Drosophila melanogaster: one gene and its partners. The gene in region 1 interacts genetically with each later gene. Each region holds a gene or a part of one and is shown on either strand. Other genes may lie near its edges.

Region 1 (8,022 bases):
TATAAATTTGGATTAAGATTTCAGCGCTTGATAAATTCCTTTTCGGGAGAGTCAACCGAAATTAAACTGATCGGGCATTAATCACACTTTTTTAATCGTATTAACATTTTGTTTCAGTTAGATATTGATTTCAAATTGCAACATTCTAAAACAGGTTTTGGGATTAAACGTTTAAAATCTGAAGTTTAGCCGCCAGATAATTTCCAAAATAGGAAATTATTAATTATGCACATAGCTTTTGTGTGAGAATGCTTTTTTGTTAATATATTTTTTAACGATTTGTACGATCATTCATTACCGGAAATTGTAATTGTAATGTAAACGTACAAACAAACTACCAGTACTAGGTATTGTTTAGTCGTAAACCTTTTGTAATGCATTCTAACTCGCCTCGGCTGTGTTGCACTTTTGCAGGCCTATTGATCGTTGTATTAGCCACATCTTGTTAACTCGTTTGCAGATGTCGAGGAAAAGGGAATGCAAAGGCTGCCCCTGCGAGTTGTGTGTGTATGAATATCCCCCATTATAGTAGACTTTGTTGTTTTTGTGCGATGATGAACGATGGTGTAACTTACCCGGGCTGTTTGCAATCCGTACTTTGTGCTGTTGTTTTTGGCCGAGTAGATGCTGCTGCTGCAGTTGCGGTTTCAACTGACTGACAGTCGTTGGTTGGGGGCGTTCCAGGTATCGTTATCGCTTCCAGTGCGTTTTCCAGTCAGCTTTGCTTTTTAAGCTGTGTGTTGTGTATGTGTGTGTGTGTTTCGATTTTTACCTAAGCACTTCACTTGGAAGAAAAAAAAACCATGAATCACTTGCACGTTTTTCGGAGTTATTTGCTTGGCATTATTTGCCTGTTAATTGGTTTCGTTGTTGCTGAATATCGGTCGCAGTATTATTCTTCTTTTTATTTGTATTTTTTTGGTTTGGTTTGGTTTTGGTCGTTTAGAAAGTGGGTTAACGTTAACTGACAGAAGCGCGTCTTTTTAGTTGCGCCTTATGCAAATGGCGCGTATATTAATTCGATTCGAGATTGCTTTCGACTGGTGATGGCAAATTCCAACTTGGTTCAACTTTGTATCTCAGCGATTGATTCACATGCATGTACACTCCGATCGGATCGCTGCGTCTGGCGCTACAACTTGAGATTCCGCTTGAGACGTTTGCACTCCAACTCGATTCGCTCGCGACTGAACAGATCGCGTCGTGCTGCGCGGCATTTGCGGCTCCGATCACGAAGGTGCACTTCGCGGACAAGTTAAGACGCGCGCTGCTGCGGTTTTTTCCTCGCAAAAGGTGAGCTTGTTCGAGTTGGAGCGAGATGGCGAGAGAAACGAGATTTGAGCGGCGACTGAAGCTTTTAACGGCTTTCGGAGAGCCAAACAAGATGGCACTGCTTGAATTCTCTCAAAATAAATGCTAGCAGTGCTCAGTCTTTCAACCAATAAACATTTGAAAAATATACTAAGGCGATCGGGAAAATCCAGTTAGAATATACTGCCTGTAGTGCGGACACAAACCAAGGTAGAGGTTTAAAAGTATTAAAATCCAGCGGTGTGGCAATAAGGAGCAGGAATTCCCACTTACTGTGCCGCCTCTAACTCATCGACGCTAATTTGACGCACATTAAATTTCAATATAAAGTACTTTCGGAATTATTAAATTTTTTAGAAATCAGGAAGTGCTTTTCATTCCCAGAAACCGACATCTCTGGGAATTTATTTGCCACCGCCCACAAGAGGGAGCTTTAGTTTCATTTAGCAAGTACAACATCCGCATTTAGCGGAGTCTAGCACCACCATTGGTGCCGATTAGTAATTTTAATTTTTGTTTAAGTTTAAGTTTGAATTGTAGCCAATTTGCTTATTTATTTATTTGTGCATTTGATTTTTATCTATTAGCTTATAAAACTGCAAGGACCGGCTATCATTTCCAGTGCATTGGGCTGTCAAATTGATTGTTTTCTCAATTTATTTCATTATTTTGATTTAAGGATCCCATTTTCTTTATGCATATCCATCCAACAAGATGTCACATAGACAACAAATGCAAATTAGATACCGTAACTGTCATTTGAAATGAATTTAATTTGGGTAATTTACTTCAACGCGGATTACATTTCGAATCGAACAGACGACCAACGAAGCCAGTGTCAGAGTGCTCCTCGTGCGCTCCGGTTTAGTGGTGTCCCTGGGCTTCGGCCTCCAGCTGCTCCTTGGACTTGTAGCCGACCTGCTCCTCGGGAGTGTGGGGCCAGAAGGTGGGCTTGTTGAGGGGATCGAGTGCGCTATCGGGGAATGCGTCGCGGTAGTCCTCCATGGTCATCTGGTCGTAGGGCAGCAGAGACTTGAGATGGGCGATCTCCTTTTGGTAGTTCTGAATGCGCTGCTCCGAGGCCTTCTTGTAGGCATCGATTTCGCTCTGCGACGCCTTGATCTCGGCATCCACCTGGGACGACACCTTGTCCTGGGGATAGGGCACCTTCAGGGCTTCGTACTGCTTCTGGAAGCTATCGACGAGTCCGGCCACTGGCACAAGCTTCTTGTAGTTGGCCCAATCGATCTGGGGTGGGCACTCGGGATTGGCCAGCACGGCGCGCACATAGATGTCCGACTTGGTCTTGAAGGCGCCGAAGCTGCTCTTCTGGTTGGCGGGCACGCGCTCGGCGAGAGCGGACCAGTTGATCGAGGATTGGGCGATACGGCGGGCGGCCATTCTGCACAGATACTGCAAGACAACAACAAAAGCGGGGATGAGGTTAGGTTTTTGGGTTTATAGAGGTGGTAAGTGATTTCTAGGTGTCCTGGAACTGTGCAGCGATATTCTTATTAGTTGAAATGTAATCTCTGCTTCTTTAGTTGCAGACTTATCGACATAATGCACGGCGAGTTATGCTCGCAAAAATTATGTAATTTTTTTCAATCCTCAATGTTCCTTCAAACTAAAAACGCGTTTGCAGTCCTTTCCTCGAGGCTTGCAGACTAATCGCTGTTGTAGCCCAACCGTGCGCTTTTTTTTTATTATTTTTGCAGTGTTTAACGTAACGTACTTATATTTTCAAGGAGAAAAATAAGAATTTCTGCCTCTGCAACCAACACTTACACTTTGAGTACGAATGTGACCAGAGCTGGGGAAAATACCACATAATGTGGAAACTGAACCAGGGCTACCACAGATTCTTAATAACTAATTTAGGAGTCTTTAAATCTTACCCTCGGGTCGGTCACACTATCAGCTGCCTGGCAGCAAAAACACGATTTAAGTGTAGCTCTTATTTAGTGTAAATATTGTGATTATCAATTAAAATGTTGCTGAAACAGTTGCCCCAGGCTGTTCAGCAGATACGCTGCATCTCATCGGCCACGACGGCGGTTACCAGGCTGCATCGCTCGGTTTACTGCCGGCTATATCCCACAGTTGTGGTGCAACCCGATGGATCCACGATAAACATCCGCTATCACGAGCCCAGGAAGATTATCAAGGTAACGTTAGTTACTATAACTTAACGAAACCATAATTAACGAGTACCATCTACTAGCTTCCCTTGGATCTGAGCACCTTAACCGATGCGGAGCGCAGAGCGAGATTGGAGGCCCGCAAGCCGCGCAAGAAGGTCAAGATCATGGAGGAGGTGGAGGACAACTTCAACGCCAAGAAGTACATGAAGTACATCAAAAAGAAGTAGCCGCATTTTATTCACTATTTGTTAAATAAAACACGAAAGCCCGTTATATAATTGTTTTAAATTAGAATTAAGAAATTGTGCTCGTTATCGATAGTGTATATCGCACATCTGGTATTTTTGTTATCGGTTTCAGCATGGGCCCTCCACTTTTTTCCACCATCCCACAACGGTCACTCTAATCGAGTCGGAAAACAAAGTCGGACGTCTAGCTGCGCGTCGCTCCCGAAGAACTGTTAATTTGTGGACGCTTTTTCGCGAGTGCAGACATAAATGAAAGCAACATATCTTTAGCTCCATTCCAGACTGGATCATAGGCTATAGCCCGTTAGAGCAGTGCCAGTGAATCGGTTACCGAATTATAATCTCGCTCTGCGTCGGCTGAGTGGTAATGTTGAATGGACAGTCGCGTCTAACAAAAAAAAAAAAAAACAAGTACACACAACCAACGACGAATGCACATAAACAAGACGAGACAGCAAACGCAGAATCGAGTGAAAACCTATTTTAAAACACCAGAGCTATATTTATTTTGTTGACGCTCAGGATTTTCGGTCCTCGCATTTGTGATGTCTGCGGGTGCGTGTGAGTGCGCGAGTGCGAATGTGTTGGTTGCATATCACGGCGGATGCGAATAACTGCAATTGCAATAGAGAGCAGACACATACACACAAACACAAGCATAATTGGATTATGGCCACACGGCAATAAGAACGGAGGGAGAGAGAGAGAGCAGTCGCCAAAACCAAACGGGTAAATAAATAGTATTAGCAGAAATCGGTTAAAAGCCAGAATTAAATGGATTAGACCTGTGCTATCGTTGGCATTTCCCCATCGCTGTGTGCGTGCGTGTCTGTGTGCGGAAGCAACCTAGAGATGGGCCTGACCTTAGCTTTCGCACACTGCCTGCCAAAAGTTGCCACCCGCTGCTTTCGCTGCATCTTGACACAACATGGTTTTCAAGGTTCTACCGAGATAAAAACACAAATATAATTTCGTAACGGGAAATGCAAAATTGTCATGTACTATTGTATATTTAAACATTTAGAATTGAGGGTAAATAGGTTTGCAATCTTATATTTTAACTTACGTTGATTGTATTTTGTCTTAAATATAATAAAACATAATGCGTAAATAATGTGTCTATTTATACTTCGTAAATGCTAAATTTAAAGTAAACATTGTAGAGCTAAAACTTGTTACTTTTTCACATCTGTTTCGAATAGCATAGCCATATGATCTAATTTGAAAAGCAAATGCTTAAATTTTTTGTGAGCTCAGCAGAATCATTTCCATATTCATTTGAATCGAACCTGTTGTCACCATGCGATGCACTCGGAAATCTGGCTCATCTCTAACACGTGCGTGTGTGCGAGCGTCTGGAATTCGAAATTTGAAATTCGAAATGGGGAAGGTTTTGTGCGAAGGGGAGCGTAAATATTTTCGTAAGCAGCGGAAATGTAAAAATAACACAAACACATTTGCAAGTTATGATGAAGATGCTTCCGATGTTGGTGCTGGTTTTCCCAGCATTCGCTCTCTCCTTAGTCTCAGTTTCTCCCTTTTTTTCCGATTCGGTCGATTCAGCGGAAAGACAGTTTTCCACGTAAAACTGCGACAGATGTTCACGGCTCATTATCCGGGGATCGAGAAGCTATAGCTCCCAATTCGAATGCACATTCCACTTGGGTTTCCTCCCGAAATGCAGCTGCCCTATTGGGATTTTGCCGGTTTGGTGGTTGTTGGCTGTTGCTACTGCTGCATTTTTGTGGTGTTTTTTTTTTTTTCGTTGTGGTCTTTCGTGGTGTTTATAAAATTAACAGTAAACTCCCCCGTACTTCCGCCCTTGGCAGCTGGCTGTTAATGCTGCCTAAGCTAATTTGTTTTCATTTGTGTGTGTCCGCATAGAGGGGAATAAAATAAATAAAATAAACGAAACGATTTGTGCTCACTCTACGCGCCCTTCCTATTGTATTTGTTATTGTTCGATTTTTGCACCTCCTTCGGTTGCATTCATCAAGTGTTTTGTTTTGTTCGATCTTCTTATAGGACTTGCACTTGAGGCTGAAAATAAACCCATTTGGTTTTCGTTTTTGTTGACGTTCTTGTTGGATTTCTTCGATCCTAAAGTTTATTTACGTATAGTTTTGCTGCAGATCGATGGGCGGCACGTGAGTGCCCTCCCCCCGAAAGCCGACTGGCTGCCAATTAGTCGAAATGTCTAAATGGCGCAGTGATCGTTGGACATTCAGAAATAGTTTAGAAAACGACGGTTCTGTACCAAAGGAAAGTGAAATTTTTGTCTGCCCGGCTAATTAAGCTTATCTTATGCTTTCAGTCGAAAATTCCATTGCCTTTGAATTTATTTGGTAGATTTGTATACACACATATTTCTCCTCGCTTTCCATTTCGTTACGTGAATCACTTGTTGTACGGCCTCTGGAGTCTAAACTTTAAACTCAAGAGAATAAAAAACTAACGATAACTGGCACCTCACACCTTCGATGGGCTTGGAATTTATTCAAAATACACCAAATTTACATACATAGATTCTTTTTCATAAGTAGGCATACATATAGGTAGAGAGCGGATGCAGCCAGCACCTCCCCGGCTGAATGAGTTGGTAGTTTTTCCAAGTGTGGGTGTATCTGTATCTCTCAGATAGCCAGCGATATATAGGCGTAGAAGAATTTATGAGCGCGACAACGACATGAATTTCATTCAGTCTTTGTTGTTTCTGTGGGCCCAAGAGTGTGCCATGTCCCATTTTCCACTTCTTTTTTTTTTGTGTTTCTCGGTTTTTGTTGTTCTTTGATAATTTTGCTCTGCCTCGGCGTCTCATCTCTTTGTTTATAGAAATTTCTTCTTCTTGAGCTGCCTTGGCTTCTTTTCGCCGTCTCCTCGTCTTTGTTTTTCTTTCTACACGGCAATGAAGTGGCATTTTTTCTGCCGCTGACCAACTTTCCTTTTCATTAACGCTTTTTTCGGACTCTAAACGCAAGACGCTTCCTGAACGCATCACTTCTCGGTGCGTTACTTGCTCCCTACTTGAATGTGCCTGAACAGCAAATCATTTCCAATTTCATAACCAAGATTTATGCCTCTTTAATGGCCCAGCTGAAACGATGCAGTGTGCATTGCACACAATTCTCCTGGCACGCGTCTACGTAGGCGAAGATACCACGATGATGCTGCTGCTGATGATGATGATGATGCAGACGGTGGTGGCCGCGACGACCCTTGGCCCCATAAAAATGCAACTTGATCTCACAGCACGGCAACAAAGTCACCGCAGTCGACAGCGGTTTATTGACTCGAACCTTGTGGCGGTTAACGGTTTAACATTCGTTTTGGAAAATGCCATAAACGCCATCGAAAGCAAACGGCGATAAGTGGTGTGCTGAAATTAATTTCATTGGTTTCTCTCTAGCAAACATATTAGGAAATGTATTAATTAAATAGCCTCGATTTTGAACGATTAGTAGAGTTAATATTTGGAGAAAAGTTGTTCTTAAGTCGGTGCAGAATCCCACCAACTTTCAGATATAGAAACTTTCTTGCCTAAGTCAACTTGTTGATGTAGAAATACCTATTATCTGCTGTTTTGAACGTGATTTCTTTAGTTTTGAGTTCTTGCGACACCACAAGATGTATTTTCTAAAATTGCCTAAATTTATTGCACGTCGTGTTCCGCCTTTTTTTTTTTTAGATTTTTAAATTATATTCAGCTGCTTCAATGCCTTTAGGGCATTTAATCTTCGTGGAACTGCTGACTTTTAAGATTGCAGCATTCCGGTGTTGTGGGGCTCATCATCTATTTTCCATATGTTTGGCAACAACCACGGATGCGGACTGACATTTGTTTGGCTGCCATTCCTATTGAAACATAAATATTTTGATGCTTTACTGCTGCGGCTTTCCACGCGGAATACATGTGTATATAGTTTGAAACGTGATGGGAAAATAAATGTATGCAAGAGTCGAAATAAAAGCGACCGCTTAAGTGTTTTTCTCGACTCGATAGATTTGCTCACCCAAATCGGTAACGAAAATCGTTGCTTGGGGCCTTGACTTAGTTTCGCGGAGCGTGCTAAACTCATTTTTGTGGGCCACGAAATGGATTTTCCTCTTCATCGATGATAGGCACTCTCTCCCCAGCTAACTCTTCACCATGATAGCCGAGTTTAATGTTTACAATTTTTTTTTAAAAATATATTTAAGTTTGCCACTCATTAGGGTGTATGGAAACTTTCACAGCTGACTGGTGAAGATAGCACGTATTCATTTCACAGCTCAAAACGAGATAATTTGACAAAGACCTGCCTGTAATTGGACAACTGTAT
Region 2 (9,151 bases), 6.9 Mb from region 1:
TGCCAAATGGCGCAAACTCAACCTAGATTGCATCCCTCTTCCTCTCGTATATCCTTCTCACTTGCTCCCGATTACTTTTGATGAATGAAAAGCTTTTTGTTTTGACTTTACCGCTATCTGTGAGTCGCGTGGAAAATTGCCAAGTACGTCGGCGGTGGAGGCGGAAAACTCCCGCCAATGTCGGTGTAGTTGTAAAGTAGCGCCATCCTCTGACGTCTCCGCATAGTAAAAGCTTGTGAGAGGGAAAGTGGGGGCTTCCTGGCTTCCTGGGAATGGGTGGCGCTCGTATCTCGGGCGTCACATGTCTTTTTTTGGGCCGCATGACTAATATAGGCAAATGGCAGGCGACTCGCAGGACGTGGCGCACATTTGGCGACATGCCAGAGTAGATACGCATTCTTAAACAATGTTCTCCTATACTTAAAGAAATATTTTTAAGCACTTCAAACTGCTTTTAAGGGTTTCCAAATATTTTTTTTTTTAAATTGTACTTGACTAACTTAGTGATCATATATGGGATATTTTTGATTTTTTAAATTCTTTTAACAGGCTTTTGGTATAAAGTTTTTCTCTCAGTCTCGAACTTTAACTCGAAATGTCTGATTCTGATTTTTACCGGTAGATGGGTTGATGTCGTCACACCGATGGAAACGCAGCTGAATGATTCACCAGTTGGTGTGCAAGGAATGGTTGTTACGCAGAATGTTTCGACAAAGGAAAAACTTTTCTTTTGCCAGATTGAACTTAACTTAGAAGTTTAGAAGTGGAAGCGACTTTTATGATTGTTTTGGGCTATCTTTAGCGTGGGCCAAGACGTCACAGCCGGTGACGCGTTGAGCTTCGACTTGATATTTTTATTGTAGAGACAGAAACACATCCTGCAGCATAATATATGTGTACATATATATAAATAAATAGATGTCCATGTGCCATTTGATGATTTCTCGCCTTTGGGCGCACGCCTGCCATCTAACGAATGTGGCATCATTAGTTTTGTCATAGTCATAAATCATACGCCCCGTGGACCGCTGCGTAGCCGGCAGCACGCCAAGCAGTGAAGGACGAGCGGAATTGCGGCAGGACTGCATTGCTAATAATGTCACGTAGCACAGCTTTTGACAGTCAAGTGTCACACACACTCCAGCCAGAATCCAAGATTAGGCGCTGCTCAACATGGCCAATTATGGGAGGCGGTTACAAGGATCTGTGGTGCCGCAAAAGTTCCCGTCCATTTACATATTTCTTCTCTAATCTCGCGCAGAAGCACAAAATTTAATTATAAAAACTGTTCTGAAAATTATGCCAAAGCATACGCAAGAACATGGCGGCCATACGAAAATAAACAGGAAAATGGCAACGGGAAAAACTCATTTCGCAGTACTATCGCCGCCCGGCAATCAGAGCCAACCGCCCACGAACGAATCCTTATCCTTATCCCAGTCCCTGCCCAAGACATTTCCTTTTTGTGTGTCGGCAAATGAAGTGCAAATTATGCCAGCGGCCAGTGCAGGGAAAAGCGCGGAAAACAAAGCGCTTTTCGCGTTGCCCCAAAAAGTATGCCATCCACAAACCACAGATTGTGAGGATTTTTCGGGGGGATTTCGGGCGAGATTACATGGTAAAGCATAACTTTATTGAGGTTGGCCTGGATCCCTACAGGATCTACCTCCCACCTGTCACCAACCTTAACCCTCTAATGTTTTGCGCGTGGCATTGTCAGCAAAGTCGGCGCCATTTGAAATGGTCGCGTGTAGTCGGTAGTTTGTGGCAACCTCGCTTTTTTTTTGCCGGCCTTTGTGGCGGCTTGATAGCATATCTTGTTGCGCATTTGTCCATGTACCATGGTCAATGTTCTTGCCCCGGCCAGTGTCACCCTGACGTCAGCGTCCTCCTGGGGCCCCCTTCCACACACCCACTCCTCCAAGGCCAAACAAATGGGCGTCCAATGTCGCGTGACGCACAAGGATATCGGGTCCTGTGATTGCCGTCGTTGTTTCGCCTTAGATGAGTTTTCCTATAGCTCGTCTAGCTTTCGCTGTTTGCCGCCCTGTCACGTGTTTGCCCAGCCAATTAGAGTTATAGGCCGATTAAGCAGGAGCAAGAGGAGAAAGTCGCTGAGCTTTCGCAGCTTTCATTTAGCAGGCGCACAAACCGTTCTGATAAAAATATCTGTTGCGATGAAAAAATTACAGGAGCGGCTCGCTTCAGATTGTGGGCAGAAAAAAGGTTCTTGTGATTATATTAATTTGTATCGATTTATTATTTATTTTATCAACTTCAATAAGTTCTTGGTTCGTCAGTGATTCAAAATGTTGGACAGTTCTTAGCTGAATTCACGTACTGGGAGCGTTGACTAGAAGTGCCACATTGTACACTCGTGGGCTAAAACCGGGTGATCTTGTTGTGATCGGGCGAGGGCGGCAGCGAGGACACCGAGGATCGGGAGGGACTCTGCTGGGGTCGAGGTGGAGGACGTTGTGGATTAATGTTGGCATTGGCCTGGCGGAGATTGGCAAAGAACTGCTGGCGACGTGGGCCACCTCCTCGAAGGGGTAACGTGGGAATCTCACTAGGCGACTGGTGGTTCACCTCATCCTGGGAACAATGGCGCATGGCGGGATTCACGCACTCGTAAACACTCTGTAAGAATAGATTTTAAAGTTAATCAGAAAAGTTTCTTGCTAATTTTCTAGGAACCCACCTGTTCCGAGGAGTATTGATTGTTCTGGGCAAAAGCCAGCGAAGTGAGTGAAGGCAGAGCTTGGGCAATATCCGACCGCTCGATACCCCTTACGATGAGGAAGGTGCGTGGTATCAGAATGCCCACCAGTACCGCCCAACCAGAGGCCTGCAATCCCAATGGAATGGCCGCATCCCTCCACTCGTCCCCGAATAAGGATAGCGCTATCCAGGCCACCCAAATTACCATAATTAAAACCGATCCAATGACAATGAGTATTCCCTCGCGATAGTTTCGTTGGGATCTGTATATAGAGGGTATCAAGGCGCCCACACAGCACAGTAGAGCAAAGTCGTAGGCCAACAGTCCCCACAACCATCGACCATAGTAAATATTCTCACAGGACACAGTCTCCGAGGCGACGTGCATCACCACCAGAAGTTGCACGGACATGCCCACTTGGGCCACAACACTAAAGGCGCAAATCACTGCCTGAATATATCCATTCACATGGGATAGGAAGCCACCTTCGGAACCAATTGAAGCCAACATCACGGCGCGACAGAGGAGCAGGGAAAAAACAAAACAGTAGACCAGAGTCATGATGAACACCCTCACCGCGCACAGGGTATTCAGAGTCTGGGCATCCTCGAAGGTCACATGCGAATTGCGCTGCTCACCCACGTATTCAATCGAATAGGGCACAAAGGAGCAAAACACTAAGATGAGGGAGAGTAGAAGGAGAATCGAGGTGGTCGGATTTCCCTCGAAGACATCGCCCAACGAGATGCGCACCACAATGAACACCAGGATGGCGAGCGTGGCAATCAGGCCCAGGATAGCAGCCGTCAGCCCAGTTGCCACCCATGTGTCCATCTTGATGCGCCAGAACATAACGGATTCACCATCGAAAAGGAATGGATATCTCCTATTGTCACCAGCACTGTACTGGCAGTTGAACACCTGACCAAACTTGGTCTTCAGCTCCAAACTGGTGTGATTGTCCCGATTATAGTGATAGTACGTGGTCACATTGGTCACAAAGTTCTGCGACGCAATCTCGCGCAGTTCGGTACGCGATTCACCTGTGATCTTGTCCAGCGTCAACACTTTCTTCTGGTACATCTGAAAGTTCATGGCGGTGCCCAACTTGCGCATCAGCAGCAGCGACAGGATCTCAGCCGTATCATGGGCTTGTCGGTACTCCGAGGTTCGCCAGTCCTCGATGAAGTTCAGGAAGTTGAAACAGCTCTCCAGCACATACAAGTCGTGCTCCTCACCACGCTTACAGTGCTTGGACAGGGATCCGCGCAGCCAGTTCATCAGGTCGATTATGGAGCCGGCAAAGCTCAGGACTCGCGATGGTAACACACTCTTCCCGATCAGGATCTCGTCCAAAGCGGTGGGCGTGGCGTCCAATTCAACGGCGGTGCTCAGGTCAATTTCGTTTTCCATTAGGACAAAAGCTCTGTTTGGTAAGTCTAAAAAGAAAAGAAGAAATTAATGCGTAAGTAAAATGTATCAGTCTTAATCCTTAACTTAAACAATAAATCAAAAGGACCCACAACTTTAGTAATCCTGTTCGTTGTAGTTATTACCCACCTGCCAGAAATTCATCGTCCGTTCTATCGGTGGGCACGGAAAACAGAGTGCCGTTTTCCTTGAAGTGACTAGCTAGCTTATTGCCAAACATTATGTAAACATTATCGTCACTTTTGAAGTGCATGAGGCACATGTGCTCCTGGCGAGCGGCTTCCATGAATTCATTGTACATCTCCAGCGTTTCGGTTGCTATTTCCACGGATGCGATTTTTTCGCCCCAAGGCATTTGATGCAGCAAGTGCGCAACTTTGGGAAAGAGGTGCGCCCGCGTTCCCGGTATTGGCCAGATATTGTATTCCAAGTCCTTGATAACAGACTCCAGTTGTTTGTACAGCTCCCAGTCAACGAATATGCCCATCGAGTACGTCGTGCACTGCTGCAGAAACTGAACTTCTTGAATAAGCAAGTTCTCTGCCAAGCTGGCGTTGTCGATGCTGATGGCGCGAATTCCTGGAATTCAATAAGAAGGATTTGATTTAGGTGCATATAAATAGCGGAATTTTACAAACCAATTTCAAAGTCTGCCATTATAAGATTCGCCTGGTTCACACGATTGATTACGAACAACGCGGAGTCGGGGTCCTTGGTCAAGACACTGAGCACCACATCTCCTTCGAGTATCTTGACAAACTCCTCCTGCTTCCGTATAACCGTTCCCTCATCCGCACTATTGACCGTCAACTGCAGACCATTGAGACATATTTCCGGCACTAAGCTGGCAGTTGTTCCACTGCTGGGTCCCTCGGTTGTGGATGAGATGAGCGGGGCCAGCTGACCATCGACGGAGCTGGAGACTTCATCATCGGTGGTTGATGCCACCGTTGTTGGGGCCCTTGTGGTAATACTGATGGGCTTGGCCTGCTGACTTGTGGGCTGTGGTTTGGTTATTCGAAGGGGAGCGGACTTCTTGGTGGGTGATGTCAGGTCAGCTCCATGGCACTCCAAGACGCAGAACACAGTGACTAGGATGCATAGAAGAGCTGCAGAGGACAACAATGAATTAAATCTTATTCGTATAAGATGGAAAATATCGTCGTCCTTAAATTTAAAGTAACTTTGTTCTGGTTAGCATGGTTGATTGACTAGTTAATTGATTGAATTACTCAATAAAGGAATTCACTTAAACCATATTTGCAATGGAATTTTCTACACAAACTCAAGCTTGAATGGCATTTTGAGAAAAATACAGGTCTTGAAATATTCCCGGAAAAAGAAATCCCCTCAAGTTGCCATTCATTCCATTGCACTTCACTTCTGCCTTACGACATTTACTCAGCACTCACCCACTGGTAATGGCTTTCTCCGTCCAGATTGCAAAGCGTCCATGACCTTCATTTCTAAAGTTTTAAAGGTTTTACAATTAAATACAAAAAATGTCCGTTGATAATTAAGCAATGCAGCAGTCTTTCCTTCAACATGTACTGATAATTGATATCATTTTATTTTTATTTTGATAGCTAGAAGGAAGAAAGAAAATGGTAAGTTGGATATTAGCCAGTGTGCAGAATTGTATTTTTTATTTTTTGCCGGCCACTTCAACCATTTTGCCGACTGCGTGGAGAGTGCTGCACTTTAATCGCATTAAAAATTGTCACACTAACACAGACTTTGTTGGCTTGGCATAGTTTCCACTTTTCCATGTCTGTTTCTTCGTGATTTTGCCCACTATCAGTGCAAAGTAATACGGTGGAAAAAATTTCTGTTTCGCATATTCTCTCACTTCGGGAAAATCAATAGAGGTTTTTTGTGGAAGCCGAATTCTGGAATTTATGGCACTGCACACACTTATTGCACAGATTCACGCACTAGACCCACTGACAGTCAGAGCCACAATAGTTTTGGGCAACAGCAATTGGCAAAAAAAAAAAACAAAGAAAAAACAACAAGGGAACACAAATTGAACGCCTCAGTGATTTTAGGGTCAATTAAACGTTTCTCGTTTTATATTTGTCCAGTGATGTACGCAGCACTCAAACCGTACATATATATTTATTGTTGGCCCACGAACAACCAATTTGATTTGGTAAGCCCCTGTGTTAACGGGTGCAGCATTGCAGTTGCCCGCACAATGCAATTATGTTCTATTCGATTTTTTTTTTGTCTCTATTTCAGTTTATTTTATTTTAGTTTTTCCGTTTTCGAACCCACCCCCTGGAAAACCGAAGGCGGAACACTGATGTGGCAATGTTTTGCACCTGTTTTGGCCGTTTTGTTTTGACTAACTTGGCTGAGGCCCGGCACTCGCTGGTTGTTATGGTTATTGGCTCAAACAGTCACTCACGAAATTGAGTGCTTTCCACGTCGAGTGTACAATTTCCCATAATTATACAAATAAATATGTACACCCCGAAGCCAGTTCAAATATTGGTCATTGCAATTAGCCAACTTGCTGGGCAAAAGGGTTTCGGGTTTCAGGGTGGAATAGGGTGGCCTGTCAAAGGTGCCGATCAGTAATTGCAATTTGGCCAGTCTTACAGTTCGGCACTTGTGGATAGCTTGCACAATGTTTGCTATCCTCGTTGGTTTATCAAAATGTTTTATTTTATTTTATGGCTATCCAATGCAAACTGTTCAGTGGAATATCCTTGAAAACAGAACCGACACTCGTGCCTTGGGCTTTGACATTCGTATGGCACTTTTCCGGGTTTTGGGGCTTTGCATAACACTTTTAATTCACGTCAAACGCAACATCAGTTGAAAAGTAAGCATTTTCATTTGGCCACGTTGCATAAGTTTAATTTAGAGCTCAATTCCTTTAGGGGGTTTAACTTTAATTGCCCAAAAAGCAACTATATGGCCTTATTAAGCTGTTTGGCTTTTTATTTAAATACTCATTTTACTTTGAATAGACGCACCAATATCTTACCGACGGACCACGTCCACGTTTAAACTGTTTTGGCCAACTGAACTAGCGGAAGAACTTGCAGAGCCGCGACACTCGTAAGCCCATAAAAATGCAGCTGCAGGTTAGGGCTAGTGGGGGTGGTCTTAGGCCTTATTTTCCACTCGACTCAGTTTTACCCGGTTGCCGGATGGGGGTGATGCCTTGTTTTGGCCAGCTCAGTTGATTCTTGCTTTGCAGTCAATATAATATGCACTTATTAGTGACACCAATGGGCATTACTCAGCGAGAATCGGGATTGCCAAGGGCCAAATAGGTCAGTTTTATGCTCAATGTAAGCTGTTCACATAACATAAATAAGAATATGAAAGCCAGTTTTAAATTTTGAACATAGTTTAATTGTGATCCTAAAAATGAATTAAATGAATACATGTACGCCAGGTACGATAAGTTATAGTTAATTTGTCGAAACATTTGATCCAATTTTTTTTGGCTTTACATTATCAGAAATAATTTAGGTCATGCCAAAAGTAATATTTAAATAAGTATTAAGGCGATTTCTAGGAATGGGTTCCCCTTCAGTTTGAATGCTCCTTTATCTTCACTCCAGTGGCTTTACTGACCATCTCCGGCGCCTTGGTTGGCTCCCCTTCGATTTAATTTGCGGTTGGGCCGGCTCGTAGTTGCTCCACTTGGATACTTGAGGCCACAGTCATCGTCCTCGCTGCCGGTCGAGATGTCCGAGGAGAGCTGGAAGTCATCCACTTCGGTGTAGGTCTCATCCGTACTATCGTTGGGCGTTTCGATCTCCGTGTCGTCAACCTTTTTATTTTTCTGACTACCTGCGAGGGTCCTAGAGCTCATGGCTGCTGGCTGACAAAGTCCACCGTTTGAATTTTTCTTGGGTATCAAGATGTCCTCGAGACTGGGCAGTTCAGCCGACATCTGACCATTCATATCCTTCACCTGATTGCAGTAGCGCTGGATATTATCCAGGACTTCTTGCACGCCCACATCAGATGATTTTACAACTAAACTTTGCTCCGATGACGACTTTTGTGCAGCAAGAACTGGCTGCTGAGCTTTGCAGATGCTACGATAGGCACTGGAGTTCATTAGGGACTCGTTATGGTCTTTTTTGGCGCTAATAGGCATTTTGCTTTGATTCCTAATCACTTTTCCTGGTTGTTGTTTTAAACTATGCGACGGTTTCTGTGTCAGATTCTGACTGACTGAGGCCGCTGCTTCTAAGTTCGCCTTCGAAAGACTCAGCATTTCCTGAGTGGGCTTTCCATTCATCAGCGATTGATGCTGGTAAAACATTTTATCGTACTCGGATTTCATGCACAAGTACCGAAAGTGTCGCGAATTTTCCTCACCGAAGTAAATTACCTCTGCAGATGCCAAAAAATAGTTACATATTATAAATACCAAATAAACACTGAAAGTAAATAAACTCACTGCTAATGACTTGTTCCTGCAGCTTATCCAGGTTATCGTTTGTCTGCTTCAACTCGCCCGAGAACCTTTCGATTTTGTGGCTCAGATCGCGAAAGTTCTTTGCCAGAGCATCGGATATGGTGTTCTAAAGAAAGTGCATAGTGTATTAACTAATCAACTAAGGAACTTATGCGAAACTCACGCCAACGGCCGTTTTGACAGTCTGGCGGATCAGGTCAAAGAACTCCTCAGGATCTTCCTCCTTATCTTCATCGTCATCGGCGGTACTCACGTGCACCTTGCTCGCCGGAACAGGCTGTCGCCCACGCATCTGCTTCTGATGCGGATGCGGATGCTGATGCTGATGCTGATGCGGTTGCGAATGCTGGAGGCGCTGCTGTTGCTGATGCTTGAGGTGGTTGTGAGTAGTCATCTGCTGCTGCTGGTGCAGCTGGTGTTGCGGCGGATGCTGCATTGCTCCGGATTGCAACTGCATTTGCATTTGATGGGCATGAGAGTGCGGATTGTGCCGGCGCATATTTCCCATGTTTCCCTGCTGGGGCACCATTAGTTCCTTATCGGAGTAG
Region 3 (5,930 bases), about 12 Mb from region 1:
TGTCAGGAGGTTGTTTCGGTTCTTTTGCCGCAGAGGACAAATGAAAAACACACATTATTTTAAAATAATTTTTTAAATAAGTAACTAAGAGCCTTTATTGAATACAGAATTTCTGATGAAGCGTAAAACTAAAAAAATATTAAGCTTTAAGGACCTCACCGTTAAATCCAACACGCAAAAATGCATTCTGTATTTAATAATTTCCCTGCATATTTTTAAGCTTTTTAAAACACTCCACAAATAACATTCCAAACTCAACGCAAATATTTATTTTCCCAAGGAAAGTCCTTATTGTAATTGAAATCCTTTAAAAACAAAATTAATCACGGACATGTATTTTTTAAAGTTTTTTTTACCATCAACAAAATATTTGTCTTATCCACAAAAAACGGCAAGAAGAATACGGAAAAAGGGAACTTTTTTATGGACCACATGCCGCGCCCACTTGTTTGGGCCGACCGACACAAAGCTTACATAAAATTATAGAACACGCCTAGCAAAGCGGCAAAAAAGTGCAGCATTAACTGAAATAAACGCAAAAGTGCGCTGCGATTTTTACCCTATCTTATTATTAGCACCACGCTGTGCCAGTATTGGTGAGCGATTCTGGTTTTCAGTTTTTCTTTCCGCTCCACCTCGCCACGCATAATACGCTTCCTACTATTTTTAACTGCAATTTTTTAGTTTTGTTTGACATTTGCATTTACTTTTTTCCATTATTCTTTGCTGCGCTTTCAACTTTGTGTGAGCTCATGTGTGGCAGGCACTAACACAATTACACAAGTGGTTAGTGGAGCGGGGGGGCGCGACCGGGAGGGGGCGTGGCGGTTTTGGCGGTATGGGGCAAGCTCACACTATCAATTAGTGAATTACATGCGAACAACGAGCGGAAAATGCCCGAGCGGGTGAAAAACTGCCGACAAAAATAGAAAAATTGCACAAATTTGTTGCGCACATCAAAACAAACACACGCACACACACAGACACGCGAGAGCGTGAGCACATACACACACACTCACTTGCATGCTCCACTTCGGTGGACTGTGTCTGTTATTCCCCTCATTTAATTAACAATAAAAATAGGCTAAAAAGTCTTAAAAAAGCAAAAACTGCACGCGAATTATGCAGGCGCACACAAACAAGCCACACACACTCACATACATTGCAGTCATGCCATTTGTTAAACAATTTTAACTCGCGCCCCCAAGTAGGCAATGTTTTCCGCACACGCACACGTACACACACACACACACGCACACATGCAGAGTGGCGCGGCGGCGAGCATTAAAATGTGATCCGATATAATACATGAATTATGTAAACTATTTTTATTTTTGTTTTGCCTATTTATTTTTGCATTTTTTCGCTGCATTTTTCTGACACGGTATTGGTGCGAACTGCCCCTAAAAAACGCGCTGGTGTGCGTGCCTGCGTTTTGTGGCCTTTGGCATTAGCATTTGGTTAACGTTAACGGGCGACCACTGCAACAATTGCCAGCCCATTTGATATTTGTGGCGGTTAGCAACAGAAGCGCACTGCAAATGCTCTTCCCTCCCGGCCCTCGTTCGCCACTGCTCGCACACGCTTGCCGTCTCGCTTTATGTTTGTTTTGATTGTATTATACATTATTTGGACCATGTACGAGTATTGGCTTGGGATCGGATCGACTGATATTGGGAGTGAGTCTATTTATGCACTCGTCCAGTGCATTCGAGTTTTGTTTTGCTTTGCTTGTTTTTTGCATTTAATGGCCGCACTTTTTTGCACGGCACTCTCCAAATTGTTTTTAAAATGCTAACTTTTTTCTTGGCGCTTTAACTTATTTATATGTGTTCGCGGCAAAATATTTTACTTTGTGCTTTGGTTTACGCTTCAAAGAAACATAAATATGGGAAATGGAAATTATTAATTTTTTACATGTTTTCAACGGTTGGGAATTAATCAACGTTCGGCGAAAAAAATTGCAAATTCAATTAAAAATGTTTATTAATGTTTCAATACTCGAAATATATAGTTTTGCGATAACGTCGCTCTGGGCCATGCTAGATTATTTATGTGGTGCGAATAAGATTTTGGCCTGGCTTTATATTTAATTAGCCGAATTTCATATATGGAAATAATGGGTGTTTTCTGAGAGTATCTTTTGGTGATTCAATAAATCAAGTATTGCACTTGAGATGTCAAGTACTCTTGTTAGCCGCATATAATTCAACAACACATACACAACATGTTAGAGATCCAATTATTATTAGTTCTTCAACTGTAGTGAATAATGAAAAAAAATACAAAATAAAATAAAAAAGGGTGACTGCATCCATTCTCGATGTCTCAGTCATAAGACTTTCACTATAGGTGAGTACTGCTAAGGTTGACCTGAAACAGGAAGTATTCAGTGAAAGATTTGTATGATATGTTTGATTGCTTGTATTGAGTTTGGCTTATTCGAATATGAAATTCTATCCAAATCCGTTAAAGGGAAACCATAGGTCTTACCATTGATCTAAAGTAGGTCTTAACAGAAGACCATCCCAGATTGGACGAGCTGTCCCAGTGACGGTGATTGTACCGGTCCTCAAAGTCATAGGTGCTGCCCAACGAAGTGGGAAGGGGATGGACCTCCAAGAACTGAGACCAAAATCCGGCAGGCATCAGAAGTAGCACCTTCAGCACCCGCTGCCAAGTGACGACATTTTCGAGGGTTAGATCCAGATCTCCGAACAGAGTTGGAGCGAAGATCACGGCAAGATTGTTGACCGTCATGCGGACAGCAGGACTTTCGGCAATTTTCTGCCAGTGAAGCATTAAGTAGGCCAACGTATCCCTGTGAGCCTGATGCAGCTCCAGAACCGCTAAATATACCGCCATCTCCACAGCCAGACGATCTTCGTGCCGCGTGGCCTCCTCGAAATCCCTTCGGTGGTAAATGGGAATCAGAGGGTGAACCAACTGCCGAAGAAAGTCCTTAACACAACAGCACAGTGTGTGGGTGTCTTTATTGCCCAAATGCGGCGTGGACTTGCCACGCAGCAGCTTCCGACGCAGTCGTTTGCATTTCTCTCGGGTGGAGGACACCCGGTAGAGTCCCTCCTGCTGCAATCCCCGCGCCTCGATCTCCGTTACACAATGGACAATTAAGGCCGGCACCATGGGCGCCACCCGAGGCGCATAATCGCTGAGACATCCTCTCTTCGTACCGATTTGAGGCTGGGGGATGCAGTTCACCGTCAGCTGGCGGCAGCAACCGATGTGGCAGCGGAGCGGACACGCCCGACACCTCAGGCTGGCCATGGCGAAGCGGATCCTGGAAGAAGACCAGGGACACGCGGTTAGGGAGGTAAATGCTGGTCAGAGAGGGTTGGGATGTTATTTAACTTTTCATGTTTTCCCTGAATTCGAAATCCTCTCAGAAGTTCCACCATTCGGTGATTGCAACTCACCTTTTGCGGCAGTGTACGCAGTTCCCCACGTTGTAGTAGTAGGACTTAATCTTGAAATTGTGCTCCCTCAGCAGCCCCGAGTGGGACTGCGAGCAGAAGTCGAGTCCGTCCGTGGATAAGCCATCGCAGCCACTGGGATTCATGTCCACGCGATCCTGCAGCGAGTCCAGGGACTGCGATCCAAACATGCGGTAGTGCTCGCTGAGGTCATCGTAGGACCTGTACTCCCGCAGAAGCCTCCGTTTGTTCTGCATCGTGGGGCGAACGGGCGACAAATAAAGTCGATTTGAGGGCGTCCGACTCCCAGAGCCACTAATCATAAAGTTGGCGAATTGATTCAGCTGTTCTGGTCAGTTGGCAATTTCCGAAGAGAGGCCACTTCGGCTTGAGTCAGCTACGCAGAAGTTATCGGCTCGCTTCTCCGAATACTCGACCGAAATGTTTATTTACTCTTACGGTTTATTTGGAATCGGGTGAAAGCTGATAGCTTAAATAGTTCTGGCAGCACAAAAATTCGATCACCCATAGAGAGTGCCTACTGTGGGTCGTACATTTGTAAATATTTCTGGATAATTCATACACACATCTAGGGTGCTCCGCAGAAATTTAATGGGCGACTAAGGTGTTACTAAGAAATATCAAAAATGCTGTTTTCAATACAAAAAAAAAGTGAATCAAATTATTATAAACATTTTTTGTGCCTAACAATAACAGATATTTGCCCTGTCTTCTTCATATAAACAAGTCAGTGGTGATCTTTTTATATTTTCGATTCAATTAAATCGTTAAAGACAATCAATCACACCGAGATTCAATGTCACGATACAAAAGCTAAAAATCCCTAAAAACAAAAAGAATGTAGAAAATCGAACTAAAAAAACAATTTGCTAAAGTATCTATGAATTCTAAGCGCCCAGAAAATGGCTCAATGGCGCCGCTAAATGGATGAAAAATTCATGGAAAACCGTTTTGCGGCCACCAGACATAGAATGCAACCAGCAAAAATGTAGCACGAAAAAATGCTGCAGTTCATGTGAGGCCGGAACGTCAGAAAGCGAAAATGTTGAGTAAACGTGCTGCTAAAAAAACACAAAAATTAGAATTTAAAGGGACTTCGAGCTTGGAACTTTTGTGGAAAACGAAACATGGATCTGTCTGTTGATTTAATGGCATCATTGGCATTGATTTTTATGCGATTTTAAAGTTTGGATAGAGTAAAAACAAAATTATCATGGCACTTTTCAGTTTTGGGCTGTGAATTGAAGAGCAGCGCCAGCAAAATTAACGAGCAAGGCGGGGAATTGGATTTTTATGCTTTTTTGTAGTCGTTTTTTAGGCGTCAGCTGCATTGACGCCGGTGTGCCTATGTGTGCGTGAGCATTTGAGGGTGTGGGTTTAGGTGTGTGTGAGCTTTGGGCTGAAATACTAAGGATGGTTGCCACTGCCACATTGAATTCGTAGTTATTAATGCGTATTGAAATGCACACATTGCAGTGAGTGAGAGTGTCTCTCTCTGTGATTATGCGGCGTGTGTGTGGGCGTAGTATTCATAATTGCACTTGTGTGGGCTTCTATCTGTGTCCGACTGTTTTGTTTGTATTCAAAGTCCACAAATACGAGTCACGCATCGCAATAAGCCCATGCAATCCCCTGCCTCACTCCTCACTCCACTTTTCCCAAAATGCTTTTTTGTACTTTTTCTGATTCGCCTCTGACTGTGTGTGTTCAAATACGTGTGTGGCCCTATGTGTGTGTCTGTCCGTTGCGTATTCCAAAAAGCAAAAAAAAAAAGTACAGAAACACAACAAAACAGCATAAAAAATGTTTGGACATCCACAAAACATACAAAAAAGAGGGGAGTTCTGGGCAAAAACGAGTGGGAAAAAATGGCATCAAAGCACGTTGACAGTGTTGCCACGTGGTGATAATTAATTTTTCACACACAAAAGTTGATCAAAATGTTTTTATCCGGTGCCTCCAAAATTTAAGGAATTATTTGGTTGCATCGAGCTCAAAATATTTCAACTTTAAAGCTTCTTAACAGAATGAAAAAGTTTAACGCAATTGTTATAGATTCAGGATGTTGCTTAAAAACATCTTAGCACATGGTTTTCTGTACTAAAACCATGAAATCAGCAATTAATTAATTAAAAGTCTCAGATGTATATCATTTAGCTACTAGGGAACACTCTTAAAATATCCACATAGAAATAGAAATATTAACACCCACCAGTATGTGGGATAAAACTAGATATTCAAATTCTGAAAAGCTGGCCTACACATAAGATGACCAATATGATTTTAAGGACAAAAAATCAGTTCACTAAGTGACCTTTTGTGAATTGAACTATAAATCGCAAAACAACCTGTTAAAGAATTCCGCCTCAATCGTCGCTTTGTCTAACCCAATTCTAGTTGGGCACTAAAAACAACAATTTATAATAAATTGTATTTTTCAATGGCAACTCTGCTATTTTTTAAGACTCTTCCTCT

The links. A genetic interaction does not mean that the proteins touch.
Region 2: of cdi (region 1) and boss, changing one suppresses a phenotype caused by changing the other (phenotypic suppression), as found in Drosophila melanogaster (one study listed by BioGRID).
Region 3: of cdi (region 1) and RacGAP84C, changing one suppresses a phenotype caused by changing the other (phenotypic suppression), as found in Drosophila melanogaster (one study listed by BioGRID).

What each region holds. Positions count from the first base shown.
Region 1 is NT_033777.3:19,090,099-19,098,120, reverse strand, and holds the start of cdi (center divider), read left to right. Parts: upstream 1-3,850; 5' UTR 3,851-4,432; intron 4,433-8,022. Other genes in the region: ATPsynD (ATP synthase, subunit D), read right to left, coding at 2,176-2,712; mRpL55 (mitochondrial ribosomal protein L55), read left to right, coding at 3,303-3,479, 3,536-3,682.
Region 2 is NT_033777.3:25,960,030-25,969,180, reverse strand, and holds boss (bride of sevenless), read right to left. Parts: upstream 7,188-9,151; 5' UTR 7,138-7,187; intron 5,740-7,137; 5' UTR 5,618-5,739; coding exon 5,566-5,617; intron 5,263-5,565; coding exon 4,792-5,262; intron 4,733-4,791; coding exon 4,283-4,732; intron 4,162-4,282; coding exon 2,702-4,161; intron 2,641-2,701; coding exon 2,383-2,640; 3' UTR 2,233-2,382; downstream 1-2,232. Other genes in the region: CG14540 (uncharacterized protein), read right to left, coding at 7,740-8,518, 8,586-8,709, 8,767-9,151. UniProt on the Drosophila melanogaster protein: Acts as a ligand for sevenless tyrosine-kinase receptor during eye development.
Region 3 is NT_033777.3:7,283,932-7,289,861, reverse strand, and holds RacGAP84C (Rac GTPase activating protein at 84C), read right to left. Parts: upstream 3,901-5,930; 5' UTR 3,758-3,900; coding exon 3,438-3,757; intron 3,302-3,437; coding exon 2,494-3,301; coding exon of another isoform or gene 2,470-2,493; exon of another isoform or gene 2,411-2,469; intron 2,374-2,410; coding exon 2,347-2,373; 3' UTR 2,233-2,346; downstream 1-2,232.